Oryzias latipes: one gene and its partners. The protein of the gene in region 3 purifies or fractionates together with the protein of the main gene of each other region. This does not show direct contact. Links are inferred from orthologs where the notes say so. Each region holds a gene or a part of one and is shown on either strand. Other genes may lie near its edges.

Region 1 (9,970 bases), on a different chromosome or scaffold from region 3:
TCTGTCTGGCTAGCCTGTACAAGTCCTTCTCTCCTTCCTTTGTGTCTAACCTGTCATATAGCTCATCGTAAGCTTTCTGTTTGGCCTTTGCCACCTCTCTCTTCACTCTACGCTGCGCTTCCTTGTACTCCTGTCTACCTTCCTCAGTCCTTTCTACATCCCACTTCTTTTTAGCCAACCTCTTCCTCTGGACGCATTCCTGTACTTCCTCATTCCACCACCAAGTCTCTTTACCGTCTTTCCTCTTTCCAGATGACACACCTAGCACCTTCCTACCTGTTTCCCTGATAATTTCTGCTGTAGTTTCCCAGTCATCTGGAAGCTCATCCTGACCACCCAGACCCTGTCTCAACTTCTGCCTAAATTCCTCACAAGTTTCTTCATTCTGTAGCTTCCACCACTTGGTCTTCTTTTCTGTTTTCCCTCTCTTCTTCTTCCTGACCTCCAGAGTCATCTTACACACCACCATGCGGTGCTGTCTGGCTACACTCTCTCCTACCACCACTTTGCAGTCAATAACCTCTCTCAAATGACCTCGTCTACATAGGATGTAGTCCACCTGGGTACTCCTACCTCCACTTCTGTATGTCACTCTATGTTCCTCTCTCTTCTGGAAGTAAGTGTTGACTACAGCCATTTCCATCCTCTTCGCAAAGTCCACCACCATCTGTCCCTCCAGATTCCTTTCCTTCACACCAAACCTGCCCATCACCTCCTCATCACCTCTATTGCCCTCACCAACATGCCCATTAAAGTCTGCTCCAATAACAACTCTCTCTCCTCTGGGGAGACTCTGTATGACCTCATCCAACTCACTCCAGAATCTCTCCTTCACTTCTAACTCACAGCCAACCTGTGGCGCATACCCACTGACTACATTCACCATCACCCCTTCAATTTCTAACTTTAGGCTCATCATCCTGTCTGAGACTCTTTTCACCTCTAGAACACTGTTTACAAACTCCCCCTTCAGAATCACTCCTACCCCGTTTCTCTTCCTATCAACACCATGATAGAACAGTTTGTATCCTCCTCCAATACTACGTGCCTTGCTGCCCTTCCACCTTGTCTCCTGCACACACAGTACATCTACCTTCCTTCTCTCCATCATGTCTGCCAGCTCTCTGCCTTTCCCTGTCATTGTGCCAACGTTAAGAGTCCCTATTCTCAAACCTATGTTCCTGCCTTTTCCCTTCTCTCTCTGGCCACGGGCCCTTCTGCCTCCCCTCTTTCTTCGACCAACAGTAGTCAAATTTCCACCGACACCCTGTAGGTTAACAGCATCGGTGGCGGTCGTTGTTAACCCGGGCCTCGACCGATCCGGTATGTCTAAAGTGGTGTGGATGATTCGCATGGTTATTTTGGCAATTTTTACGCCGGATGCCCTTCCTGACGCAACCCTCTCTATTTATCCGGGCTTGGGACCGGCACAGAGGCAACTGGCTTGCAACCCCTGTGGCTAGATTGGATTAAATTATTTTTAACTAGATTATTTAAAATAAATTCACAATAAATTATATTGTCAAAGTTGTTCAAAAAAACAAATTCAGTTTGGTAGTTTGCTCATGCATGAGCAGTAAAAGGTAGATAATAGATGAAAAAGGTTAAATATGATAAAAAATAAAATTAAAAAAGAAGAAAAAAGACAGCAATAACCCAGCAATAACGGAACACAATATGAGCCATTAAAATATCTGTGTGGCATAATTAGTGACAATATTTTAGGTTCATCAGAGGCAGAATCAGATACACACAGAGAAGGAATGACAACTTTTGTTTATTCTGTTTATTCTAGTTTTCATAAATGTCTTTTCAAGAGGATTGTGATGTGAACAGATTGTGTCCTGGGTGGGGGTGTTTCACATCTGTGTTTCTGGAAGTCAATCATTAAATCTTTTGTTTTTCAAACGTTTAAATCCAGTTTTTTAAGCACACGATGCTGAACTTTTAGTTTGTTGGCAGCTTAATTAGTTTTTGTCCTACCACAGCTGTGTGGTGGAACTTGACAATGGTGTTTAAATGATCAGTTGTGGTTCAGTCTTGTGTAACTAATGAATAAAGAAGAGGGGCAAGGACACTGCCTCGAAGCGTTCCTGTGTTTAGGATGAGAGAGGATTAAGTACTGATAGTTTGTGGTAGATATTCTGAGAAGAAGAAGAAATTATCTCTGTGTGTCCGTTAGTGTCCTTGCAGCACTGTTGAATCTGTTGAAGACCCAACAGATTATAAAGGGTTAAAGTCAGGACAGACAGGAGGAAAACACGGAGTAAAATCAGAACACTGTGGCGCCAGTCAGAGACAGCAATCACTTTCCGATCTCTGAATGATTGATCGCTGCGTCTCCTGTGGAAGCAGAGCATCCAGGAGTAAAAGCATCCAATCAACAACTGCTAATGAATAAAAAACAAACAGAAGGTGTTGAGCGGCTGCAAAAAAAATGCTATTGGTCTTTACATTGCGTGGCTTAAAATATTGCATGGGCTAAAACATTTGTAAAATATTGAAATGCAGAATGAGTGTACTCTACAACGCAATTTGTGCAGTGTTGTTCTGCACATCATAATGGTTTTGGAGAGGGTGGATGATGGCACTTTTACCTACAACAAGGGTGTCACAGTCTGATACTGAATATGTTACTGAGAGATTTAACAGCATGATGACGGGTTAGGAGGGATTATCCATGATAGATGTCAGTTTTACCAGCCTCCTTCTGATTCAGACTTCCTCAATAGTAGCCAGTTTGTAGCCCAGGGCCGAGCCAGCTCCCTTGATTTTGGGAGGACTCACAAAGATGTCCCCCAAGTGACACCCTGGGCAAGGCGAGATCCCCTTGCTCCCCCCTTGCCGATGGAGGTAGTGTCTTTGTCAGTTGAAGCTATCCGGAAATTGGGATTGGTGATGACCCATGTCCTTGTGAAACACATTATACCGAATTCTCTGCTCTCTCCCTATGTCCTGATGAACACTTTCACTTCATCCATGTAATTTGCACAAACCTCACATTTTCATTGATGACTGTGGGAATGCAGGACTTAAACTTCTTGTTCTTCATCCTCTGTTAGAGCTATACTCTGAAGCATCACCACCTCCTCTCTAAGGTGGGTCTTTCTAGCTTGAAAGTCTTAAATTCATATTTTCAAATGTATATTTGCCTCTAACTGTCAAAAACAACGAGAATCTGCATTTCTTGCTCATATACAACATTATAAAACACGAACAATGCAATGAAGTGCATTTTTTCCAGGCAAAACATTTACACTTCCAGTCTAGTTTAAAAACAACATTCCTTAAAAAAAAGTGACAAAACCAAAAATATTTTATATTAATGAGATTCCACGATCTAAAAGTAATTTTGCAAACCAAGCTTTGAGTATTTTTATTTAAAGTAATAGTTTAGTGTATGTCTGTTAGGGAAGCGGTTATCAAAGCGGAACCGTTTTACTGGGGGGTGTTTCTTCAGAAACTTATCTGGTGACGGACCCCGGCGTACGTTAGAATGCTTCAATAGAAACAAACGTAGTAGCTTTTTTTTGGTTTCATTTAGCGTAAAAGACAAGAAGAAAACAGGCAATCAAACTACGAGATATTCCCGAAACATGGAGACTATTTTGGAACAACAGCGCCGCTATCACGAAGAGAAGGAGCGGCTCATGGACGCCAAAACCAAAGAAATGTTACAGAAAAAGTCAACGGTGAGCTTAGCCGCTGCAGGCTAACGTTGGCATTACGTGCCACGACGTTATCCTCCTAAAACAGAAAATTAATGGTTGTAATGTGTTATTTGTTGTTTCAGCTTCGGGATCAGATTAATTCCGACCATCGGATTAGAGCCATGCTCGATGTAAGTAGAATTTAAAAAAAAAAAACAACGTTTTGTTGATGCTAACACAGCGGCAGGCTTACGCCACCGCTACAATGCTTAGAGCATAGTATTAGTTCAAAAGCTACAGATAGTTTTAAAATAGACATTGAAACATTGCCTTCTTAACTTAAGATGAGCTATCTTAAAGACGACCAATCATCCATAAGCTGTTGAGACAAGTGAAAATTTTACTATATTTCCTACTATAGACAACTCAAAGCGAAAAAGTATATAGTGGAGTCAGAAGAAGGACACATGATGATGAGAAGGAATAAGTGTTTTTTACTCCGATTATGAACTCATTTGTCCAAATAGAATAAGGAGACACACAGGTAGGTGTTGCTGCTTCCATTCATCCAGCAGCTCCATTGACTTCCATTTTCCGGTTTGAACTTAAAAATTTTGAGTTTACCTTCAAAGCCATTCACAAAACTAGACCTGTCTGTCTCTCAGATCTGGACATTTTGTTTGTATGTATTTTACAAGTAGTATTATCTAAATGAGATGCAATATAAACTACTGAAAGCATAGCTGTAGTAGCTTTAAATGAAGAAAGGTTGTACAAATATAACAATAACAGGCCGTCATAATTAAGACTTTGAAACTAAAATGACAAAAGAAGTTGAGATGTTTATTTTGATGATAGCACTTTAAAAAAATGGAATTATTCAAGAATGCTTGTGTCTAAATGTGTTTCGTCAGAGATACATGGATGTCAGTGCAAACCTGCGAGACTCCTATGAAGACAAAGATGGGTGAGTGTTGTAGTCTTAAGAACCCACAGGTCTGAATCTTTTCTTTTTCTTTACTGCAGCTGTTTTTTTTCTTCTTCTTTTCTTTTGGCAGCATGAGGAGAGACGAGCTCGCTGCCATCTCTGGACCAAATGAGTTTGCTGAGTTCTACAACAGACTCAAACACATAAAGGAGTTTCACAGGAAGCACCCCAATGAGGTACAGAATCCAGAGTTGTAACAGCACTGCTTTGTGTGGTTTGACAGATGGAGTTATTTATAAACGCTGCTTCATATCAGGAAAAGATTTAAACTATAGAGTGTGTTAGTTATTGTGTTAGGAATTGTGTTAGGAAGGCCATCCTGGGAATCATAAGATGATTCCCTGTGGTACCCACTGTAGGGAACAACTGAAAGGTAAAGAAATAGACTCGGCCACTTAGGTATCAAAAAATACTTTTCCTGTTCTGGGGTATGGACATTATTGGATTATCAGTCAGAAGCGCAACACAAAGCCCTCAGTATGTCAAATGTGTGTTTAATAGACCGACACATTCTGTGCCGGAATGTTGCTCATTCTGCAGAGCTTGAGGGGAACTGCTCTCTTTGGAGCGACTGAAAGTTGTGGAGGAAACCTTTTTGTGCATCACAGGATTGTTTTGCAGAAAATGTCAGCAGAAGGACACTTGGTGTTTTAGTAATGGCCATAATCCATGTGGAATTGTTGATGGTCATGTGACCTTCATTAAACCGTTTTTTAACATGTTTTCCTTGTAGATTTCCATCCCCATGTCTGCAGAGTTTGACGAGTTGATGAAAGCCAGTGAAAATCTCAGTGAGGAAGCTCAGAGTAAGTCGGATCCACCTCCAAAGCATTCTTTATCTTGTTCTTCTCTTTTACAAACATTAACTCTTATTAACAAACAAGAGTTCTTTCTCAAAGTACACATCTGTTTTAGTTTTTCCACCTTTGGTGAGCTAGATCCTAAATTCATTTTTTTTTGGGGGGGGGGGCTTAAATGTAGGAATTCCCTTCACAAGCCGGCAACTAGCCGGCTTTAAGTCTTTTTTTTGTATTGTAGATAAAAAATATATATATATATATATTTGGTCTAAAGTGTTTATGGATTTAATTTTAAAGCCTTTGTTTTAGTTTTAGAAAAATCGAGCAGAATAGTTTGAGTCTGGTTTGACCCAGATTTTTGTCTGCCTCAGACATGGTGGAGTTCACGGATGAGGAGGGATACGGCCGCTACCTGGACCTCCATGACTGTTACCTGAAGTACATCAACCTGAAGGGGTCTGAGGTCAGGATCCATCAGATCTGCTTGATCCGTGTCCAGATTCACATGAAGGTGCACTTTCTAACTGCCCTGTGGTTCTCAGAAACTGGATTACATCACATACCTGTCTTCCTTCGATCAACTGTTTGACATCTCCAAGGACCGGAAAAATGCTGAGTACAGAAAGTAAGTGTTTGTTCCGGCGAAAGTTCCGCTGTTTTTCCGCACGCGAAGCATTAAGGTGGAAAATGCTGCCGGCTGTGCAGATACTTGGAGATGCTGCTGGAGTACCTGCAGGACTACACCGACAGGGTCAAACCCCTGCTGGACCAGAACGACCTCTACGGCAAAGTGTTGACCGACTTTGAGAAAAAATGGGACAACGGGACCTTTCCAGGCTGGCCTGTAAGTTCTCCTCATTTGTCCAAACGTTTGAACACGATCTCAGATTTAAGAAACGTTGAACATAAACGTTTCTGATGCAGAAAGAAACGAGCAGCGCTTTGACACACGCTGGAGCTCATCTGGACCTGTCTGCCTTTTCATCCTGGGAGGTACACAGCGTTCATGCATGACTGATTGATGCGGTTGTCTTTCCTGTTTAATGCGTTTCTCTGTTTCTCAGGAGTTGGCCTCTTTGGGGTTGGACAGGTTGAAGTCTGCTCTGATGGCTCTGGAGCTGAAGTGTGGAGGGTGAGTGCTGCTCAGCTCTGATTGGTCTTTTACTATAGGAGACCAATCAGCCAATTTCAAAGCCTTAACCTCTTTGGTTGTCCTGTTAAAACTAAATGTCCTCTGGGTGACGTCAGAGTTTACCTGTCCAGCAGTTGAACTTAAATAGTGATAAAACCCTGGGGTTTGTTGGACATTTCTGCTGTGGCCTGATGGGCGTGAGGAAAAACCAGCATGATGTTGTTTGCTCCAGGACTCTGGAGGAGAGAGCGCAGAGACTCTTCAGCACCAAAGGCAAATCTCTGGAGTCGCTCGATCCATCTCTGTTTGCCAAGAATCCAAAAGCCAAAGGCCCCAAAAAGTAAGCAGTTTTAAAAAGGTATCCAGTCTAAATTTGATGGTGTTTTGTTAACGTCTCTATTGATATTCCCCTCCTCCCCCTCAGAGACACTGAGCGCAACAAGGAAATCGCATTTCTGGAGGCCCAGGTGTACGAGCTTGTGGAGATCCTCGGGGTGAGTGTGGAGCTGGTGGACTGGCTTCTGGTGCAGCTGTGACCTCGGAAGTTATAGCCGCCGCCTCGCTTGTCCTTCACAGGAGCAGAGGCAGCTGACACACGAGAACGTGCAACGGAAGCAGGCCAGGACAGGGGAGGAGCGTGAGGAAGAGGAGGAGGAGCAGCTCAGTGAGAGCGAGAGCGAAGATGAGGATAACGAGATCATCTACAACCCCAAGAATCTGCCCCTGGGCTGGGATGGAAAGGTAAAAGCCACCCGAATCATTCTGTGACGAGCTCTCAGCTTCAGTCATCGGAAGCTTCCTCTTGTGATCTTCTCCTCTCCAGCCGATCCCATACTGGCTCTATAAGCTCCATGGTCTGAACATCAACTACAACTGTGAGATTTGTGGAAACTACACCTACAGGGGACCCAAAGCCTTCCAGAGGCACTTTGCAGTAGGTGTTCGTTGTCAATGTGGGGTGTGCGTTTAAACGCGTGTGGGGGTCAGGTGTGGAAAAAAACCCGTCTTGTGTTGCAGGAGTGGAGGCACGCTCACGGCATGCGCTGCCTGGGGATCCCCAACACGGCTCACTTCGCTAACGTCACACAGATCGAGGACGCAGTCTCCCGTGAGTGTCCCGCTTGATGGGTTTTGATGTGTGTGCTTGTTGCGAGGGGGGGGCGTGTCACCTCTGATGTTTGTGGGATGTTGCAGTGTGGGCCAAGCTGAAGTCCCAGAAGGCTCTGGAGCGCTGGCAGCCAGACACAGAGGTGAGGTTTCCTCCAGAAAACTGTTGAGAACATGATGTGGACATGTGATGTGGACATGTGAGGGCTCACTTCTCATCTTCCCCCCCATCTGGACTGACAGGAGGAGTACGAGGACTCCAGCGGAAATGTGGTCAACAAGAAGACCTATGAAGATCTGAAGCGGCAGGGCTTGCTGTAGTTACTCAGGAAGGAGAATCTCCATGATGACTTTTTTTTTTAAATCATAACTGCTTAAAGTTTCCTGTTTTAGTCAGTAGAATGTTTTCCAGCTTGAGTTTTTTCCTCATAAACCTTTCTAACATGTCAATCTGTGAACAATAAACTGAAGACTTTTTACACAGATCTGATTGTCTGAGTTTGTGCAGCACACTGACCCTCATCTGGGAGAAACACTTCTACTAGAATCCTTATATAGAATCCAATTGATGACATTTCAGAGCTTCATTGACAGTTTTTATCCTTAGGGAAAATAAATGCAGCAGAAGTCATATTTTCTGACATGTTTCAGCTCATAACTGTAAAAACGGACACTGATGTCTAAAAAGAAGATTCCTAGCCGCACGGGTGGAGTTATGACAGATTAGGTATTTTAGCTGTTGAGCTGAAAGGTTTCTGAGTTCTCAGATTAAAGAAGAACTTCTGGTTCTTTGTCTCCTTTTAAATCTGTCTTTCTTTTATCTGTTTTTTTGTATAATTTAAATACATTGTAAATCAGCAGGTGGTATTTATCCCGATTTTTTTTTTTTAGCTATACAGTCTTTACAGTCTAAATGTTTTTCCTATAGTTGTCAACCTGTCCAGCTGAAATAGCTTCAGTTGTTTAACTAAGGAGCTATTTTTAGTTAATAGTCTTTTTCTTTTTTTTTATGCCTTTATAGACGGGGTCTATATGCGCTTGCAGAGGCAACTTTCAAGGGACCAGTGGAAAATGCCAAAGCCTTCAGTTTTTAAGAAAAAACAGATTCAGACTCTTAAAAAGTAGTAAAAGTCCACATGAGATCAACACTGAAGATAAAACACCTAACTGTATATTTAAGAAAGTATTTAGTCAATGTTTTCTCAGTAAACATATCGAGATTAATGTTTTGTAATTCTGTTATTCTTCAGCAGACTAAAGAGCAAGCATCTCCCTCTGCTGATGTGCTGTGATTTAGGCCACAAGGATCCAGGTCTTACACACCTAAAACCGTTTCATGAGTTAGTAACTCAAAAGATTCCAGCATCACTGGTTCCAAAGTTCTGAATTGTTGGGATATTGCTGAATTCTTCCTTGCTTGTAGACTTGTTTGGTCGAATTTAAAGAAGGATGTATTTGAAAATGTTGGTTTGACACAGGAAAATCATGGAGCTTCTTTCAAAAGCATGGATTCACACAATCTCATAAAAACAGTGAGATGAGCTTTAAGGCAAGTTTGTACGTCAGATGGACCGCCGCTTCCAAGGAGGTGATGGAAAGAAGGAGGAACCATGGAAACATGTTGCCAGAGTGACCTGTATGCTCTGCCGGTCAAAATAAAATGATAAAGCCTCCCGAAAGAACAAAAATCCTGGAATCGCCCCTGTTCCTGCCTATATCAGGCAAGTCTGTAGGACCATCCCAGAGGGGGAGGAGCCTGAAGCTTTTTTCTTTTATGGTTCCTGCAGAGCAAACTGTTAGAAAAAAAATCCCACACAGGAATGTAAACAGACATACTATATATTCACTTAGAAAATTACAGCAAGAACAATCATGGAGTTAGACTTCCTTTTTGTGAGTATTGATGTCCACACATGTAAATACGTTTTGCATCTGCAAAGGAAAATTTTTAAGGGCTAAACAATTAAGTGCTTTTGGAAAACTGTACATGAAAGATTAACAGTTGTAAAATTGTTTTGCACACTTGCAAAAATGTTTTTCTATCTTCAGAAACATTTGTCGAATCTTCTTGTGTTATTTAAGAAACATAAGATCATGGGAAACCTTTGTCGCATTCATGTTTACAGTCAGACCTGATGTGCCTGAAGAGAACCAGATGTTAATGTGAAAAAATGAAGAAATTAAACAGGAAGATTTTTTTAAATGTATGCACCTGATTAAACTGACTGGTTTTCCCTTTTGTATTAGCTTATTTCCTAATTAATTTCTAAATTAATAATGTAGGTAATGTAGC
Region 2 (10,011 bases), on a different chromosome or scaffold from region 3:
CTGTGCCCCGCCGATAAAGCCGTATTTGTCCGTCTGCTTGTCGCTGGTGAAGCCGTTGATTTCAGAGTCGGATCCCAATGAGCTTTCGTCGTCAATGTGGCTACTGCTGCTTATAGTCCTTATGCTCCGCGTGTCCACTGACTGACGACCGTTTTCTGTTTTGGCCATTGTAGTTGTTGGAGAGCTGGCTGGTTAGCCAGGACAGCTAACGTCAGCACGCTGTTGACAGCCCAAAGTTAATTAAACTGAACCGACGCCATGATTTCTAGGCGTGAACGAAACTTTCCCACTACTGTATAGCCCGCAAATAGATTTCGCGATTCTGTTGTCAAGCCACATTAAACAGGGCATTCGTTAGTTTGCACGGCAATAACTTGAAACCCAATTGACACTAGCTAGCTATAATTTTCAGCTGCTAACGTATTTAGCTTGAATCGCTCCTAGTACTGACACTATAAAAAACTACTCGTGAGTAAACCTACCACAAACACGCTAACTGTCCACAGTCATGGGAGTTCGCATAGACCAGCACTAGCATGCAGTATGAGGCTTTGAGCCAAAAGTTAGGTAAACCTTCAACTAAATTTGGCTTGATGCGCCCGTCCTAAAACGATTTGTGTGGCAGGCAGTCATCGTTTTCTGCGACTCTAGATGGCGCTGTTGCTTCTCAACAGCTTTACTGACGCACAAAGAAGAGTAGGCGACGTAAAATATGGAACTTAAGTTGAGTATTAACCTTTTATTTAAAAAAAATATATTCTAAGATGTAAAAGGTCTAAATCACTGTTTCTCTAATTTATTTCACAACAACTTGTATTTTTTTCCGGTGAAACATTTCAGTGAAATTCACCATCTAATGTTAGAATTCTCAGTTTATATTTAGTAAATAGTTAGGGGCGCAGCTAACCTTGAATTTAAAACACCAGCTTCTTTCATCTTAAATTCTCTTTTTTAACTGTTGTGTTTTGTTTATGTCCTTAAGTTACAATTCTAATGTAATTTATTTTTTGCTTCTTTGTATCTTATTCTTTTCAAGTTATGTTTAAAAAACCTAACTTGTTTCTTTTCTTCTTTTTTTAAAATCAAGCAGCTTAATAATTACATTATTATATAGAGCATCCACAAAGATCCTTATTACATACTTTTAAAAAAGTACCAGATAGATACATAATTGTGAAAATTAACCATTTCATTACAAACCTATCAATAGTACAACAGCCCCAGAAATATTTAGAAGTTTCCTAGGAGGAAAGGATATAAAGATTTTTTCCCCTCCAAGCATAAATTTAGAGGAACAAAGATAATATTCAGCTTCAAATGTGAAAATTATCCAAGATATTAAACCCACCTGATTCAGAATCAAATGCAGGTTCTTGAATTTCATGCTAGTTATAATTTTTTCACAACACCTTTTTCAGTAAAACTTGTTTTCATGTTAAAAAATAATATTCATTCAAAAATTTAGTTAAAAACATTTGTTTTGTGTAGCAAATTGAAATTAAATAAAAACACCAAAGTGAAACTTTTCCAACATTTCAAAGCTTGCTGTACAAATTATTGTATGTTAGCTGTATCTGCATAAATAAGAACTAAAGCTCCCTATTTAAAATATTGTTTTAATTTGAGCATCACATGGACTAGAAACTTGTGTATTGAATGCACTGTTAAAAACTAAAATAAAATGCAAAAAAAAGCTACAAATGTCATTTTAAATTTTATTTCAATGGGTGAGACATACATGGTGTTCCCCAAATAGTAACTCAAATGTTATTTAAAAACAAATTATAAGATGAACCAAATTTTGAGTCAATTCTATACAGGAGCATGACTTTACACAGATATCCAAGACTAATCATTTCAAAATTTACGCTGAAACAAAAACTAATCAACAAAATTAAACTGAAAAACACAAACGACACTTTTTGTTTTGTTTTTTGAAGTAACAGTTCATTTCTTTCTTCCACCTCTTTCTTTCAGAGCCAGATGAATGATTGAACCATTCATCATGTTGTAGTAAGCCAGAGAGTTGGAATCTTTGATGAAAATTCCCTATAAAAACAAAAATAATTAGTAATAATGAATGAAGTGAAATTACAGCATGCACAAATGTTAAATGAACTACTCACCTCGTATTGTAGCTTTTGTTTTCCTGCTGGCATGCCTGTGGCTTCATGGATTTTGACTTTAATTACAGACACCTATGAAGATATTTCAGTTGCAGCATTTATGAATGAGACACTGGCTGTAACAAAAAATAAAAATAAAAATAAATCTGCACAGCCCTACCTGGTCTGTGAGAGGAACAGTGAAATTCAAAATCTGCCCATTCAGCTTCCATTCAGTCTTGTCTTGCATGTTGGGGACCTGAACCTTTACAGCCACAGGACCCTGGAGATTAGAAAATTGATAAGTTAGATTACATAGATAGAAAGATAAAACACAGAGAGAGAGATGGATAGCTTTGATGTCACAGTTTAACAAAACTAGTAAAAGGAATTAGCTAACAGGATTAAAAGGAATTAACGAGAAAGTTAAAAATCCCCATTTATATTTGTTCAGTTTAAATAAATAATTATGCAAATGGTGGGGGAAAAAAATTGGTGAACCTTTGATTTCAATAATTATTCTGTTAACATTTAATAAAGCCTTGTGCACCAAATTTTGCTTTTTGAACAGTATAATAAATAAGCCAGCGGAGTTTGTTGGTTAGAAATTCAGCCCAGGGTATTTCTGCAATTCGTCATCTCAGCAGACCTTGTTTCTACGAAGGAACTCCTCCTCTGGCATGAGGTTATCCTCCGTTTTCATCTTCTTGCTGGATGGCTCGTCTTCATGCGGTGGGGGTGGATGGTGGGGGGGAGCTGGAGCAGCGCTTGGAGGTTGAGGCATTGGAGGAGCGGGAACAAATGCTAAGAAAGAAAGAAAAAAGATTATGGCAATAAAAACATAAATAAAAGAATGTGGTTCTAATGCAGCCTGACACAAAAAAAACACTCTAGGTGTGAAACTGCTCATCCTACCTGTAGGAACAACCATGGGAGGTGGTCTGGGGGCCATGACATGAGGTGCAGACGGTGGCATAGGAACAACGTTGATGCGTGGGCCAGGAATCATGGGAGGCATTGATGTGAGAACTTGGCCTGGGGTAATGCGCACCACAGGAGGCCTTGGAAGCACCGGCACAGCAGACAGAAGAGTGGTCCGCACCGGAGGGGCCATCTGTTTGCCATCAAAAGAGAAAAACAAGTTCCAGGAAAGGGAAGGTAAAGTTTAGTTATCAAGCAGTGAAACAGAGAAGAAAGTCTAGGTCAAGGAATTCAAAAATATGTTTGTGCCTCAATTGCCCAGAGATCTGTTTGTGCACAGAAAGCTACATTAACGCAACACAAACTTAAGTCCTTTCAGACGGACACTTACAGAAACAGGGGGTCGAGGCACAGATGAGACTGGGGGGCTGGGTTTGGGTAAGTTGACTGCAGAAGAGGGCATGGGAGGCTGATGATTTTCACTTGGCTTGTTTGGACCAATCTTCTCTTTAGTGTCATCCTCTCCAACCAGGCCTTTGGCCTTATGAATAGCTTCGATCTGCTCCTGTAGAGTGATGTTGGCCTGCGCTGCCTGCTGGGTGCGAGCCATGCTTCCAGAGTGGCCATCCCAGGTAACCTGGACACGTCACAAGAATCCAAAAAGTTCAGACAAAAGTTGAACGCGTATTCACAAAAAATCTATCAGGTTGATAAAAAAACGAGTTCAAATGATGCTTTTCACAAAAACCATGCTACTTTCTACGGAACTCACCTTCTCCTCTGGCTTCTGGATTTCCTCTTCACCAATCTTCTTACCAATGGCTGTCTCTTCAACACCAAAGATATCAGTACGCCTCTCAGCGAGCTGCTTCAAGCTGCTCTCGATATCCAGACCAGGAGCATAGACTTCATCCTCTGTCTGTCTATCCCTGATGCTGCGGTCTCTTTGTTCCAGCCAGCGTGGGTCCAGCAGACCAATGCGCATGTGCTCCTGCATCTTGCTGGCTGGGATCTTCTCACCAGTGATTGGTGAAATGAGGTACTCATCTGGAGCTGCAACTGAGGGCATAGGCTTGGAGGCTGTGAAAAAAAAAAAAAAAAAAGGAAACAAGTTTTAATGCACCGCTTGTTTTATTTGCTTGTTTTTATACTTCATAATATTTCAATCACAGAAAAAAATGTACCTTTGGGATCATAGTCTTTTCGAATGATGACGTGGTCTGGAGTCGGGGGCAGAGGAGGTGGCATGGGGTTGTCAGGTGGAAGTGGAGCTTTAATTCCATCGTCCTCATCATCTGATCCCTGGAGAAGTAGCATTTTAAATTTGTGAATTTGCTACACAAGTAACCAAGAAACCTAGACAAGTGTTGGACTTTGTATAAATGTAGTAAATGATAACTGTTTACCTCATCCATGTCCTGCACTTGTGTGTCTTGGTCAGGCTGTGAGGGTTGACCTCCGGCTCGTTTCTCCCGTTCATCCTCTTCATCCTCACTCTCAACTTCCATCTCCACCTCCTCACTTTCTCCATACTTCTCATAGCGCTCCTGGATGAGGATTCGAGCACCAAGCTCCTCTGGAGTGGTAGGTGGGGGGAAGTGGCCTTGGAAAAACACCAAATGAATAAATTAATAACTATGGTTCTTGCAACATCTGGACCTGGTGTTCCTATAGTCATGCTACCTTGTTCATTGGGCTGGAAGTCCACAGTCTCCACCACGACAAAGTCATGCCAGTCAATTTGAGCATAGGCTACGCGTTCCTTCTCTCGCTCCTCTTCCTCCTTCTTTCTCTCACGCTCCTGGTACTTTGCCCACTCAACACGGTATCTCACCTGATGTTTGTAACAAGACAGTTTTAAACATAGAAAATAATCTTCTGAAGGCTAAAATAAATTACCTGGTCCATAACCTCCTTTGGATTCTCAGCCTCTCTCTTTAGTTTGGCCAGCAGACCCTTTGGGGGGATCAGAATCTAAAGGTTGAGGCAACATTTAAAAAAGTTCAATAACACAGTTTCAATAAAAAAACAAAGAAAGCTGTAATTTTTGTCCTTTACCTTGGTATATTGTTCCACCAGTTTTGTGAAGTAGTTGAAAAGGCTGTGCTGGGGTCTCAAAAAGTCAAATTGGTAGTTCCTCTGTTCTTTTTGCATGAGCTGGGTGAGAAACTGACGGCCGTTTCGTGCAACAAACTGGGCAGTGAGCTTCACAACATCAAGATCGAATGCAGAGATTGATGGAGGATCAGCTATGAATTCAAACTCTGGAGGCGGTTCTTTGGGGACCACAGTTTCCTGAATCACCTGGGACTGCACCTGATGAAGAAAAGGCAAGTTTGTATAAATATAAACCCTTGTAGGTCCGGGCACAGTAAATAGACAGTCCTTACTTTTTGTGGAAGCTGCTGAGATTGCTGCATAGCCTGCTGCATAACCTTGGGCACTGCGGCGGACGGTTCTTGAGCTTTGCCCTCCTTAAACTCATTGACTTTGTGGCGGTAGTAAGCATGGTAGGGATCGTTGGGGTTGAGGAAATTAAATTTTGGATTGTTGATCTCATTCTGACGGATTCTTGCTTCAAACTCAGGCCCATTCCTGTAAAGTGACAAGTATAGAGTCAAACTACAGATAGCAAACACCTCTTACAGCTGTACGTGACAGTTCTTTGGCAACCAACCTGGCAACAAAGCTCGCAGTCTTGTCAACTATATTACGGACCTCAGGAGGAGGATATATGATGCCAACAATAGGTTTAGTGGCTGGAGTTTCCTCCGGAGGTGTATCATTCTGACAAGAGAAGGTTCAAAGTAAGAATATTTATATTTAAAAATAACATCAAGTACAGTGAAGTTCCTCCTTAAAAATATTATTACACAAACATTATCAATTCACTTATTAATTAATAAGACTTACTTTAGGTAATTCTAAGATACACTGCAACAATTTAAACATTAAACCACTCGATCATTAAAAACCTGAGAATACAACTAACACATTTAGTCTAAACCATATGCAAAGATACCAAATATTGAAGTGCAATCATAGTTTAAGTAATATCTGTTACCTAATTTTATTGACTTTCTCAACTTGGGAATTTTTAGGGCCACACATATAGACGCAAACGTTGCCCCATATGTTTTACAGCTTTATAAACATTAGCATTTAATTTTGGACAGGCTTAGAAAGCTTTGCATAAAGGGGGCGAATTTTATAAGGCGATAAATCATTAAGAAAAGCGACGGATATCTGAGGCTAATGTTAGCTAGTTAGCGTCCTTACCTTGTTGTTAGGCTCAGGCTGAACCATTTGAACAGGCCCGGGCGGCATGGCTGCGTCTTTTTAACGAATCACCAATTTTACCTGAAAACACTAAAGCAACACACATATATTTTGAAATGAATTCTTTAAAAAAAATTCTGTAAGTCAAAAAGTAATAGCTAATACAGCTATAATTCTTTATTTGTCGACGTTAATACTCACCGCGTCTCGTTTTCGTTAACGCAATGGCGGCCAATTACTTCCGGAAATATCCGCTAAGAACTGTGGGACTTGGAGTTAACTGTTGCCAAGGAGACCTCACGTCAACAAGTACTTATAGGCGCCAAATAAGCGTTTTAGACATGAGTTTGTTGTTGGGTCGTCAGGATTCTATCAAGAATCTAAGAAAAGACCTCATCGATATTCAGGGTGCGGTTCTGGACGTGCTCTCCAGAACAGGACCAGTCTGCGCTTCCTCCTGGAAATTCCCGGACAAACTTTCCTGTCATCTAGACATTGTTGCTTTGTTGGAGGAATATGACTTCGTGGCAGGAGAAGATGACTTCAATCAGCATTCCCACATTATTCTCCTGGAATTGATGATTGACAGGTAACCTAATGTTGTATTGCATGTAAAATATATATATATATATATATATATATATATATATATATATATATATATATATATATATATATATATAATGACTTTAAAAGCATCTCTGCATGTTCTTGTTCCCCAACAAGGCTCCTGTTTCTTCTTCAAAGCGTCAGCGTTTATGCTGAACAACAGATGGGGGTCCACAGACCAGAAGGAGCTGCACACAGAGGCAGCATGTCAGTTGGTCTTGTGGTCAGGAATTATTGGGGGGATTTACTTCAATTTGCAGATAAAAAGGTAAAGAAACCTCTTTTTCTAGTAATGCCACAGGGATAAAAACACATGCAAAAGTATTTGACTTTAAATGCCTTTTATGTCTTTTTAGGAACTCTTCAAAAACATTGCAGAAAAGACAAATTCAGTGGAATCTGATGAGTCAAACGTCGAGTCCCCTCTCAATAGATCCAGCACAAGTTGCTCCAGGCATTCTTCCATATCCTGGTCTTCCACAAGCTCATTTAAATTCCTCCCACAAAATAACATCACCATCAGTTCCCCCGAACAAACCTCATTCCATCCTAAAACTGCCTCCCATAATGTCAGCTGCCAGACTGCACAAACGTCCCTCATCCCTTGTGGTACATGTCACCAAGTGCAATCTCTTTTGAGAAAAACTGGAGAATCTTTGATAGATCTGTTTCAAAGTGAAGGTCTACCCTCATCTCTGCAGCCTCTCTCAGCAGTTGTGGATGAGACAGTGAGGGTGGGACATCTGACTCCAGGTGATGTTGCACAGTGGGCCAATGAACAGCTCAGAGACATGCGCAGGCTGGCAAAACACCTGCAGGATGTGAGGGGAACGGTACTGCCCCTCCAAGACAGAGTAGCAGCAGCTGAAACGGATCGTGAGGCCATCAGATCTCAACTAAAAACAGTGCAGAAGGATTTTGAACAACAACTAGAAAAACAGCAAACAAATATAGAACAACTGGAGTTTTCACTGCAGGAAGCACAGAGAAGCGCAAAGCAAACTGAACAAAAGCAACAGGAGGAGCATAAACAGCTTAAAAAAGGTATTAATCACATTAACCAGCACAATAAAAACAAGTTAGGATCATGTTTAAACTTTTTTGTTTTTTCAATTTCTTTAAAACAGAAATCCATTCTTCAGAGGAGACCAATGCTAGACTTAGGGAGAAGGTAGCATTGCAGCAAGACACCATACACACTCTAGGTAAAATAGCCTAACTTCATTTGTTTTTATCATTTTCATAGCAAAAAAACGTTTTTTTCATAAAATTGCTGTGTTACTACATAACAAATCTTTGTCCTCCTTCTTAGAAAGTGAAAATAATTTTCTGCAAGTGAAAGTAAAAAAACTACAAACAGACCAGGAGGCATGTTGTCAACAGCAGCAAAGGATCCATCAGCTTGAGGAACAACTCTCTGACATTCAGCTGCTGCTTGATAAGGAGAGGGCCAAATACCAGAGTGCTTGCCGTCAGCAAGAGGTCTGTGTCTCAAAAAGAAAAGAAAAATCTATAACTACATGTTAAATCAGCTTGAGATGTTGAAACCTCAAATCGGTACCCGTTAAGAAGAAATCTGAATATAGATTTTGATGTTTTCTTGCTTTATTTTGTGTCTAGTCAACACAGGTAAAGCAGAAATCTTTGCTAAAGAGGGTTGAAGATCTTGATGAAGAGTGTGAAGAGCTGAAGAAGCAGCTGGTGGACAGCGAGGAGGCCCAAATGAAGTTAGACAATGAACTGCAACAGATGTCAGACGAGAAGAAACAACTGCAGGTTCAGACTGCTCAACAGCAGGTAGAATAAAATCAAATCAAATCAAACTAGAACATTCTCAATTTACAGGTTTGCCCACAAAGATAGTTTTGTCCTGTATTTAGAGACACTTGCTGTGTGTTTTTGCACTTCAGGACCTGTGTGGGGAGCTACAAAAGAAGAAACAGAGGTTAGAAATGCGCGAAGAGGAGTTGAAACAGCAGCTGCATGAACTGATGGATCGTGTTCGCGCTTTAAGAGACAGAGAGAGAATTTTGGTGGCGTTCCCAGAGCTCCACAACTGGGCCCAACCACAGAGTAGGCCATTATTGACTATTACATGCATTTGTTAACATTTGAATAAAAAATGTAGTTTTCAATGTTAATTTACTATGTTAAATCTAAACTTTTAGACTGTATGAATCTTTGTTCATTAGCAACAGGAAATGTCCTTTTGGACATGGAGAAGCAGCTGCAGGCTAACAGCATTCGTGTAAACATACTGGAGCAGGAGAACGCCACACTGCAAAAAAGCCTCCAGAAACTACGGAAAGCTGCACAACACAATGGCAGAAGTGTAAGTACAATAATAAGGTGGGGTTGGATATGTTAGATACCCTGAAATGAATCAATATGGGAAGAAGTATGGTACATGCTGTTGGCTGTAGTAGCTAAATTCTAATCTGTGACACTGTTTTCTGAACAATATTAAGTTGATTTTTTTCTTCTAACAGAAGTCTTCCCCTCAATGTGATGCAAACCAAACGACAAACAAAATCTCCTGACAGGAACAGAAGAATGAATTTCAAGTGTGTTATTCCCAACATTAAGCATGTCTTACATGTGGTTCAATAAACTGCTGTGCTTCTATCAGTGTCTTTGTTTTCTGTGCTCCACAGGCAGTGCAGCAGCACGGCTCACATGACATGCAGTTATAAAGAAGAAGGAGCCAGATGCACAGAACGTGGTCCTCACTGAACTGTGTCGAAGGATCGTATCGTGTGTCTGCCTTTCCTTTGTTGCTGCAAAATCAGCTTTAGAGCTTCCACTTCGCCACAGACTCTGCTACTGCTTAGTCATACATCAAAAACACCCCTTCACTCTCTGCAAATATTTGACTCAAGAAGTCTCATCTTGCAACTGTGTGTTTTAAGGGTGTATTCATTCAGGCTGGAATAGTCCTTTGGTCCAGACCAAGCCCACTTAATTTGGTCTGTTTCGAGTACTGACCCTTGCATTTGGTTTGTATTCCGACTGCCGTCAAGCAGACTTTCCTGTTTTGAACCAAAGCTTGTAAACAAAACCATGTGACTAAAGATCTCTTCAGTCTTCAGGAATTAAG
Region 3 (10,084 bases):
ACTTTCAAAGTTCCAGCGTAAAGCCCCTCCCCAAATTTCAGTCAGCTCTTTTGGACACATGGAAACCTTCCCCCAAGAAGCCGCCTTAAGATCAGTCTGAAAGTCCAACTAGTGTCCCCTCCTAAAGCCGACAGGCTTTACTACATTTCCCATGACCACCGTAAAATCTATGGCAATACTCAAGATTCCTATTTTTAAAAGTTAACCCAATCACCAAAAAACGTCCCTTTACCCGACACAAACCAACACCTGGCTTTAACGTTTCAGTGGAGGGCCCATCACTGCACCAGTGTCAAACACTGAAGGGTCAACTCTGCGTTTAATCATCTTTGGAAACCAGCAAAACAAACAAACTAATACCAGCTAGAAGCTCCACATCGGGAACTTTTGCTCCATTTTGCCTTTTTAAAAACAAAGCCCTTTTTTCACTGGATGAGAAATCCAGACAGCACTTCTTGTTGATGCACATGCCAGCAAGGGCTATGATGTCTGCATTCCAAAACCTGCTCTTTCTGCTTACAGACCCCAAGCATCACCTCGCCTCTTCTTCAATGAACATATTCTATTATGACGGGTAGTGTAGTCCATGTAGGTCTAATTTATTTAGCCTATTTATTTTTTTTGAAGAATTATACTCTTGGCTGTGCTTAAACAGCCATTCCCCCCCCCAATTTTACTTGAAAGTGTGTACCAAACTTTCCCTGATTTGATCCCCGTTGAAGCATGACGCAGTGCTGGGACTTTCATCCATTCCTCTGTGTGACGTTTAGTTGAATGCTTTCTCTGTGGGCAAATTAGACAGTAAGAAGCCATCTTGTTTTTCTCACCCAAGCACAAAGCTCAAGCAATAACGTTTCCAGTTTGATCTTCTTTGTGGCGTTGGCTGGGTTGTAGTCGATTATTCTGTCCATCCAACTCCAACAGCTGCTGTGGTAGAGTAGTACGCAGCTACTAATAATCATTAAAAAAGACTTGTCATTGAGTACAATTGCTATGGTGCATGTTTATGAATGTATCCTTTCCAATCATGTTTTAATGAGCTTTGGATTGACAACTCTTAATGTAGATAGCATGAACGACAAACTATGGAAAACTGCTTTTGGGTATACATCAGTGTTTAATAGTGGATGTTTTTTTTTTTGTATTGTAGCAGACAGAAATATGGATTCTTACATTTCTTACAGAAGATTCTGTCTCTTTTCCACACAGTTGCACTGCTGACCTAATCAAATCCATAAAACCAAATTTAGATGTTCAAGTCTGATCGCTCCTTCTGATCCAGGTCATATGGAGATCGCCACCAAATTGTGTCTTAACACGGGGATCGATTCTTGCACAAAGTTTTCTCTTTTTGGAGAGGTCCTTCACACCCGACTACATTCAGATGAACAGTACCCGCGCCGCGGAAAACTTTGCTATGGAAGTAAATGCAGAGACAAAATGGTTTCTTGTTCCGAAAATGCTCCATTCAAAGTGATTTCTGTGTTAAAAAATATGCTGCTGATCCTTACTAATACTTTGTTACGATTCCTTATACTTATTCCTGAAATCTTAATAAACCTCTACACACAAATAACGTTTCTTCTTGCATGGAGGTAATGGTTTCTTAAAGAATTACTTGTCTTTCACAGATTTTCTTGTTTACGCTCAGAGAAAACAACCATCACAACAAACATGTTGACATGATTATTAATTTAAGATATTCTGCAGTTCTGTATTAAATTTTTCACATTTTTCAATGAACTCAGTACAACTGAGTATTAGAGCCACCAGGAAAGAGAAATCAACGAATATAAGAATAAAGTTGTAAAATTGAGAAAATGTCAAACTTTTACTTGATTTAGTTGTGAAATTGAGAAAAGTCTTAATTTTACAAGAACATTTGCAAATTATGAGAAAAAGTGAAAATTTTTACCAGAATTAAAAAAATACTTATTTTTTTTACAAGATGAAGTCATAATATTGTGAGTAAAGTCAAAATTTTACAAGAATGCAGTCTTACAACCGTGAACAAAAATTCATAATTTATAAGTTGTTTATCTATACATCAAAAAGTTGTCATTTTGAAATCAAAGTCATGCAATTTCAAAAATAAAACATTACATTCAGCTTTTAAAATAAATCAATAAAGAAAGCATTACCTGTTTTACTGATGTTGTCGAGAACATTGATGACATCACACTACTGAAAAATCTTTAAATCTGCTTTACTTTGGAACTTTATTTAAAAGAAAAAAACATACCTTTACCCTTGTAAAATTACAACTTTTTGATCCTAAATTTATAATTTTATTTATGTTGAATTTTTTATCATAATTAAACTTTTATGGTTAATCTAACACTCTGTCGTATTTGAGTCTTTACTGCCACCTACAGGACAAACACAACAACATCAGAGCAGAAAATGGGAGATGGCGAATTTTTAAAAACCAAAAACAAATCCTTTATTTCACTGTTATGTATATACATATGTTTAAATGCATCTGGAGCACTTTCAAATCAACACCATAATCTAAATTCAGATTTCTAAACTTTTGGACTAGACAAACGTACACCTCAAATCTAGACATGTATGGCTTTACGGGTCTCAGGGGCGGAGCCTTTTGCTGTAGTCGAACAACAAAAATCTACAGCCTCTTAATGACAGCCTGTTTTTACCACAGCGGACTGCAATCCAGTGCCGGAAAACCTCCCTCCTACTGATTGTTGTTGGACTTACACAATACAATAAGGAAAGAAAAATTCCACAATTATTCAAACACTGGTGTGCAAGCAACTCCTTTGAAAGCTTTCTTTACTTGAGAGTTTAATATCACGTATAAACACAATGGAAAGCACGGATTCAGCTCATATTATAGCAAATTATGTACAGAATGTGAAATCACTGGGGCATTAAATGCCTGACGTTGTACTTTGACGTGTCATTGTACTGGGTCATCGGTTTGTCTGCTATACCACAAGTTCCCACTCCCACCTTTCCGTTTACGCTTTCCGGGGAAGCAAATATGCTTCTTTTGACCTGTAAGACACGAAAAGGCACGATGAGTGATTAAAATTGAAAGCATTTCATGGCTTCAGGCCTGTTTAAATGCACCAATGCATCAATTCTACCTGTCCTTTTTTGTTCTTCGAGTATGCTTTGTTGTTGAACTGTTGCCATTTGGATTTTTGCTCTTCCCTCTCCTGCTCCAACTCCTTCATCCTTTGGACCTTTTTCTGGGCTTTTTTCTTTTTATATTCCCGTTGCTCTGCTATCATCTCTTTCCTAGAAATACGCACAAACGAAGAAACAGCTGGTCAAAACTGTGCAAACACAATACAACATTTTTCAGCAGATCACACAGACAAAAAGAAATAGAGATATTCACTGATTGGGACTTCCAGAAGCAATAATGCTTTCATAAACGTCTATAACTGACAGCAAGTGTCTTGTGTTTTATCTGAACTCAAACAAAAACCTACAAAAGCATTTCAACAGAAAAAATATCTAGTTTTTGTTTCTATTAATGAGAATGGCTCACTCTGTAAGAGACTGCCTACAAAGTACAAACTCTTGAAGACACGGTGGTTATAAAAATATATAAATTCACTCACATCGAACTCAAAAATGGTAACATTGATATAAGCTATTCATTCATAATCATATTTATGCTAAAACAAAGATTGGAGCAGAAAGACATTTTTATTAAAGATTTTTTATAGAGATGTGAATCACAAATGATCAAAAATGTTTAATAGCTTTGACGATAATGAAGATAGTCACTAAATGTTCTCACTGGATTAATTATTACCTATTTTACTAGTCAATAGTTAAGTGCTTTTTGTAGTTGATAGTTGCACTTTTTTTGCTCGCTTGTTCATGGAAGTGCACTGTTTAAATGTTACACAGAGCACTTGGAATCAGCCGATACTCAAAATCAAATGCCAAAAAAAAAACACCTGATCATTACATCCCTAGATCTAACTGTAAACTGATTAAAACATGCTGAGAAAACAAAGGACTAGAGAGAGGCATATTTCAAAAAGAAAAAATGTAATCTTTCCCCATTTCTGCCTATAGGTGATTCGTTTTTATATGAAATCATAACATAAAAACCTGAAAACATTCAAATGTTTTGGATTCTTGCCATTATGGTATTGACGCTAAAGATGCAGGCATCTATAATGGCTGTCTGACGTGGGGTGGTGGGCTCTAATGTGGTTTGCATACACAGTGGATTCATGTCTGTTATTATATAAAGAAAATACAAATTTTCTATGAACATCCGTAATGATTTTGTTGTATTTATCAACCACGTCTTAAAGTTTAGTCTATGAAAATATTATCCCCCATCAATAGCCCTCTGTGGTTGCATACTAGCGACACATGCAAAAGCTTGTGATTGGCAACTGGCGAGTGTTAATTTGGGTCTCCTCTTACTTGGACTTTGCCTTTGCACCTCCATCGTCAATAGAGAGCATTCCCTCCTCCAAGGCCTTGATGTTCTGCAGAGGAACCACTTCAGCGTTTCCATATCCGATGAAGTTTATGGCTGCAGTTCCGTTCTCTCGGTCTATCTCCTCAATTTCCGCTTCATACACCCTGCAAAAAAATCCCGTCTGTAAGCAGGTGAGTAGGAACCAAAAACTCAGGATTACTATTCTCAAAACTATTAAATCCAAACAGTTTTACAAGAGGATAAGTGATACTTTAGTTCAAAACAGGTCTATCATGTGGAAGTCCATCACCTAATATTCCTAATACTTAATACCCTTAAGTGTCAACCATCATCACTGTATATAAAAAAAACAATCAACTCTTTGAACTACGTTTCCACTGAAAAGCAAAAAAAAGATAAGGAATATCCTAGATATTTCTTAAAGGCATGCATTGCTATAAAAATAATTAAGGAGGAGGTGACACTCACTGTCCATCATTACCCCACAAAGCCATACATCGATCTCCCACTTTCCAGGTATGCTTTTTGGGAGGTTTTTCTGTACTGGTGGTAGTTGAGGTTCCATCAGTGGGCTGTGAGCTCAGCAGATCTTTTGTAAGTTCAATAACCTCCTGAAAAAGAAAAAGAGAGATTTTCATAGATGAGTACTTTATGAAAAGACACTTGTAACATTTTCAGACTTTTTTTAAAGGGTTGCAGACTATGCATATTTATAGGGTAAAAGATGTAAACCTAAAACTAATAATAATACAAAACAAACAAATGAATCAATAATTGAAAATGGTCCATTTGCAACAAGTACATCATTTGATACTATTCATATTTTTAACTTCCTTTCAAAGCCTGTTTAAATGTCTAACTTTCAGTCAATGAAATTAAACGTATTAATCAATATTACGTAAAAGATTACTTTGATCAAGTATAATAAATTTATATTTAAAGGAATAAATGAACACAATACATCTTCCTTGGCTTTCAAAATTAGCCTCGCATTTTGTTTTACTATGGATAACAAGATAAATTTAAGGAGAAAAAACAGCAATCACAAACCCGTAAGTCCTTCTGAAGCTTTTGAAGGTCTTCATTTTCAGTGTCGGTAGACAAAGCAAATTCGACTTGCTGGAGCTGAGCTTTGTAGCTGTTCAACTGTTTCACCAGGTCCTCAGACATCTGAGCGCTAACAAAACAAACAGCATCGTGCAGCATAAACTAGCCACTTAGCATTTGTTCGACGTTTCGGCTAAATTTACAATACGAAACACAAATTAAGAGAAAACAGGAGGGTGTATATAATATTCCACTAGCGCAGTGTTTCTATGGTCCCCCCAAAAACAGAAATACAATGTGTATCATGTGTCAACAACGTCAACCATAGCACGTCGCTAAGTGGGTTATCAAGGTCTCTTGGCCTAGTCGTGAGGCTACAATTACCATTACAAGCAAAATGCTAGCGTAATGACAAAAATGCAACTGGAAACAAACTTACTTTGGTAAGGGAGTTATCTGTAGACAAACGCGCTGATAATTAAGCTATTTATTGTTTGCTAACTACCTTAAATAATTATTATGATAAAGATAAGTTCTTCTTTCAGCGGCACAAAACTGACCGGAAACAAGCGGAAAATTTCTTCGCGAGATTTCCTTGCTTCAGACCGAGCCTTAAGAGACTCAATACTGCCCCCTGTCGGCCAGGAAGGGCACTTTCACTCTGCGCCCTAAATGGGTTTTTGCATTGTAAATATTTTAAAACAAGCAACTTTCTTGCGCAGACTGAAGTAGTAGGATATTACTACGTTTTTCACATTACTTAATAAAAGTCACGTGATTTGTTTGAAAGCCTTAAAATTATTATTTCAAAATAAAAATAGTGAATCTGTTTAAATGGTAACAGTTTGTTTTTTAGTTGTTTTTTTTCACCATCCATAACCATTATATTTTTTAATCATAAAAGTTTACAAAGGCGAGGATTTCTAAAACCAACCTCTGAAATTCAGCATAAAAATAAACGACAATCTCACAAGTGTTGTATGATGATCCTCATTTCCCCTTCCATGAATTCATAAAACAATCTTTTCACAAATCTTGCTTTCAAGGGATAAGAAGAAATAATATTGCAAAGGCAGAGTGCGGATGTACCGCTATAATCTTAAAACAATGAGATATTAAGTTTATAAATCATAAAAAAGAATAAATGTCATAATCCGCCAATGGCTGTAGCGTCAGAGCAATACAAAGCGTCCTTTAAATCTACACCAGATAAACTCCGCCCATCCTATTTCTCACTGAAGTAGAGGGAGCATCAAAGATTTCCAGCTTCAGAGGAGGATAATATGAGAGACATTCCTTCTCTTTTGCAGAAGAAAAGAAGACCAACCAGAGCCAACCTGCAACTGATGGAGTTTTTTTTGCGATGAAATATATTTAAAGATTTAAAATAAATTATTATTTGAGGTAGGTGAATCGGGATTTATTTGTCCAAATGAGTGTTTCAACTTTCCGAATGCATTTTTTTTTCAGTTGATTTTTTTTTCACTCTTAGGTAGAAGAATGAGAGATTTGTGCAGGAAGCTCTTCCATAGGAAAAAACTCAATTCTCCAACATTGCCATCTTGAATGGATTTAACAAAGAGTCAGCTGCAAAGCGCCCTCTTTGATCCCTTTGACAAGGAAATCTTCAGATATTCTCGACGCCCCAGCGTGTCTTGATGGGTTGTCTCAACCTCACTGGTGGAAATGAGACTTTTCTTGGGAAGCACCCTTTCAGCGTGCAGATCTCAGTGTCGCTCACATTTTTGGTTTGTATGCTCATCCTGCTAACAGTGTTTGGCAATGTGATGGTGGTCATTGCGGTTATCACATGCCGAGCTCTGAAGGCGCCACAGAACTTGTTTTTAGTGTCTCTGGCATGCGCAGACATTCTGGTTGCCACCTTAGTTATGCCATTCTCCTTAGCCAATGAATTGATGGGCTATTGGTACTTTGGTAAAGTGTGGTGTGAAATCCACTCTGCTCTTGATGTGCTCTTCTGTACGTCATCAATCATCCACCTGTGTGCAATAAGCCTGGACAGGTACTGGTCTGTCACTAAGGCCATTAAGTATAATTTAAAAAGGACTCAACGAATGATTAAATGCACTATTGGTTTGGTTTGGGTCATTGCAGCCATTATTTCATTCCCTCCACTTATAACTATGAAGAAGAACAGGGGAGAAGCAAACAGCCCTGTTTGCAAAATAAATGAGGAGAAATGGTACATTTTGTTCTCCAGCATTGCATCTTTCTTTGCACCCTGTGTCATTATGATTATGGTGTATGTAAAGATTTACCAGATTGTCATTAGGAGAACCAGAGCTCCACCAGGAGAGAAGCAAGTAAAGAATGGCAACTCCCCACAAACAAAAGACAGAAATGTGGATGATTTAAACGACGTGAAAAGTCAGGGGATTAATGGACTTGACATGGATGAGGAACCATCCTCATCAGATGGGAACGAAACCTGCCTACGCTCTCTGAGCAGAAAAATCGATGTGAGGAAGACCGACGTGACTGAAGCGAAGCCAGGAGAAGCCTCTCCAAAAGCAGAGGCACTGTCTCCCTTGAGAGTGAGCAGGTGGAAAGGGAGGCAGTACAGAGAAAGACGCTTCACCTTTGTTCTGGCTGTGGTCATGGGAGTGTTTGTTCTCTGCTGGTTCCCCTTTTTCTTCACATACACACTTACAGCTGTGTGTGACATCTGCTGCGTCCCAGAGACACTGTTCAAAATGTTCTTTTGGTTTGGTTACTGCAATAGCTCATTAAATCCTGTCATTTACACAATATTTAATGATGATTTCAGGAAGTCTTTTAAAAGAATTCTTTGTAAAAAAGACTTAAGTTTTTAGATAATATTCTTTATACCATTTAATGCTATATTTGGCTAATGTTCCTTTAAAACTATAGTTTGTTTTTACTTTTTCATGGCTAAAATGATGGTATTGTGAAAGCTTGCAATGTTAGATTTTAATATTTTAATGTCACGTTATGTTCATTTTTTCTATTTGTATTATCTGCAAGGTGAAGATTTTATTTTGCAGTTCAACAGTCTTTATGACAAAGGAGTCTTACATCAATAAAATCGATGTGAACATTTTGATAATGAAAGACAAAAGAGCCTCATATTGCAAAGAAATGCCATGCTAGTTCCCCTATGCTGGCTCTAACACACATTTTATACCGTTTTGAAAGGAGAATAATTCTTGTGTTGATTGTGCAATATGCTAAATTAACAGATAACCGCCCCTTATGTCACTTATTTGTAAATTAGCACGGATGTCAGTGTGATAATGTGCCCAATAATCTGCTTTCACTCCAAGCCTAGGACAGAAAATTCAATTTTGCAAAATAACAATTTCCTAATTGCTGTTGGATATTATAAAAAAAGACTGGATACAATTAGAAATGTCTTTTGCTTTTGCTCAAAGCAACATCAATAAAGGTACTTATCTTGAGTCACTTAACCTATTCATAACAAAACATTACTACCAAATCAAGTCATTTTACAAGTTTTTTTGGTTTTAAATGTAGAAATGTAATCTGGTTTGTTCAGCATTTGTGTCATTTGAAAACCAATAATTTTATTTTTTAATTTTTCTTGAGCTGTACTTCAAGTATTGCTGGTTTGATACTTAATGATACTTATTAAATTATTAAATTATTCATCCATCCATCCATCCATCCATCCATCCATCCATCCATCCATCCATCCATCCAACCATCCATCCATCCTAATTAAAAATACATAAAACATCAAATAAAAACACAACTCTGAAAAAAGTGGTCATCTCAAATGCAAACTTCTAATTTTTAATGAAGTGTCTAGAGGGAGTACTGGATGAAAAATAGACTTTTGGCTATCTCTAGTACAGCGATGCTTTTTAATATGCAATGTCCCTGTCAAATAAACGAATAAATAAAAAGGATTTACCATTATCACATAGTTAACAAGATCCACAGGCAGCAATATTTACCACACAAAAAAGATGATACCATCTTATAACAAAGACAAGAACAAAACAATTACATGAAAAGAAAATGATGCCTGGGAGGCAGGTTTGCACACTAACATTGAACAATGTTTATCATGAATTATTGCCACTCATTGCAGAAGGTCATTAAATCTTCCCCTAGAGTCAAACAGATGTCGGACCATGATGGAAATATGAGTGGCTTGCTGCAAATTGCAGTGTGAGGTTGATGTCCACAACCTTATCAGTCCTACGATCCTCAACCGGTGTGCAGGTTGCTTCATATTTATCAGTCTTCTCCATTCCAGCACACATTTCACACCACTAACACCTTATTTCCTTCCCTTTTTGATTCATTTTATATGCTTTAATTTTCTAAACCATGCAATAAATGTGTGATTATGAGTTCATACATGTACCCAACAATGATTCCCATAACTCTGGATTGGAATTTTGAAATTTCTGTGGTTTAAGTGTTTCTCAGGGTCTTAAAATTAGGCATTACTGACCACAAATGGAAAAACAGTCAGTCAGAGTATTCCCACAGAATTATTCATGAGCCATGAATCTGTTTCTCCTGCTTGGACTTGGGCATATTTGTGACATGAAAGTTATGATTTCAGCTCTGATTTTTTTTTTATTG

The links.
Region 1: the proteins of smndc1 (region 3) and sf3a3 purify together in Homo sapiens (affinity purification with mass spectrometry; 3 studies listed by BioGRID and IntAct, with this or other methods). This does not show direct contact. The link is inferred for Oryzias latipes from reciprocal best matches to the Homo sapiens genes SMNDC1 and SF3A3.
Region 2: the proteins of smndc1 (region 3) and sf3a1 purify together in Homo sapiens (affinity purification with mass spectrometry; 3 studies listed by BioGRID and IntAct, with this or other methods). This does not show direct contact. The link is inferred for Oryzias latipes from reciprocal best matches to the Homo sapiens genes SMNDC1 and SF3A1.

Annotation. Positions count from the first base shown.
Region 1 is NC_019869.2:17,929,641-17,939,610, forward strand, and holds sf3a3 (splicing factor 3A subunit 3), read left to right. Parts: upstream 1-3,441; 5' UTR 3,442-3,596; coding exon 3,597-3,692; intron 3,693-3,793; coding exon 3,794-3,841; intron 3,842-4,564; coding exon 4,565-4,617; intron 4,618-4,708; coding exon 4,709-4,814; intron 4,815-5,371; coding exon 5,372-5,444; intron 5,445-5,809; coding exon 5,810-5,901; intron 5,902-5,980; coding exon 5,981-6,063; intron 6,064-6,143; coding exon 6,144-6,282; intron 6,283-6,362; coding exon 6,363-6,431; intron 6,432-6,502; coding exon 6,503-6,570; intron 6,571-6,802; coding exon 6,803-6,910; intron 6,911-6,994; coding exon 6,995-7,064; intron 7,065-7,146; coding exon 7,147-7,311; intron 7,312-7,393; coding exon 7,394-7,504; intron 7,505-7,587; coding exon 7,588-7,678; intron 7,679-7,764; coding exon 7,765-7,820; intron 7,821-7,920; coding exon 7,921-7,998; 3' UTR 7,999-8,162; downstream 8,163-9,970. UniProt on the Homo sapiens protein: Component of the 17S U2 SnRNP complex of the spliceosome, a large ribonucleoprotein complex that removes introns from transcribed pre-mRNAs.
Region 2 is NC_019867.2:18,882,311-18,892,321, forward strand, and holds sf3a1 (splicing factor 3A subunit 1), read right to left. Parts: upstream 6,530-10,011; 5' UTR 6,507-6,529; intron 6,396-6,506; 5' UTR 6,354-6,395; coding exon 6,306-6,353; intron 5,814-6,305; coding exon 5,704-5,813; intron 5,622-5,703; coding exon 5,417-5,621; intron 5,343-5,416; coding exon 5,085-5,342; intron 5,001-5,084; coding exon 4,926-5,000; intron 4,861-4,925; coding exon 4,710-4,860; intron 4,630-4,709; coding exon 4,433-4,629; intron 4,329-4,432; coding exon 4,211-4,328; intron 4,107-4,210; coding exon 3,799-4,106; intron 3,664-3,798; coding exon 3,418-3,663; intron 3,220-3,417; coding exon 3,021-3,219; intron 2,910-3,020; coding exon 2,755-2,909; intron 2,389-2,754; coding exon 2,287-2,388; intron 2,199-2,286; coding exon 2,127-2,198; intron 2,050-2,126; coding exon 1,948-2,049; 3' UTR 1,702-1,947; downstream 1-1,701. Other genes in the region: TBC1 domain family member 10A, read right to left, coding at 1-168; ccdc157 (coiled-coil domain-containing protein 157), read left to right, coding at 6,530-6,894, 7,032-7,182, 7,271-7,958, 8,042-8,119, 8,227-8,396, 8,535-8,711, 8,825-8,987, 9,107-9,246 and 1 more. UniProt on the Homo sapiens protein: Component of the 17S U2 SnRNP complex of the spliceosome, a large ribonucleoprotein complex that removes introns from transcribed pre-mRNAs.
Region 3 is NC_019873.2:19,582,427-19,592,510, reverse strand, and holds smndc1 (survival of motor neuron-related-splicing factor 30), read right to left. Parts: upstream 6,082-10,084; 5' UTR 5,925-6,081; intron 5,616-5,924; 5' UTR 5,609-5,615; coding exon 5,489-5,608; intron 5,050-5,488; coding exon 4,907-5,049; intron 4,582-4,906; coding exon 4,420-4,581; intron 3,265-4,419; coding exon 3,111-3,264; intron 3,019-3,110; coding exon 2,881-3,018; 3' UTR 1,678-2,880; downstream 1-1,677. Other genes in the region: alpha-2A adrenergic receptor-like, read left to right, coding at 7,144-8,319. UniProt on the Homo sapiens protein: Involved in spliceosome assembly.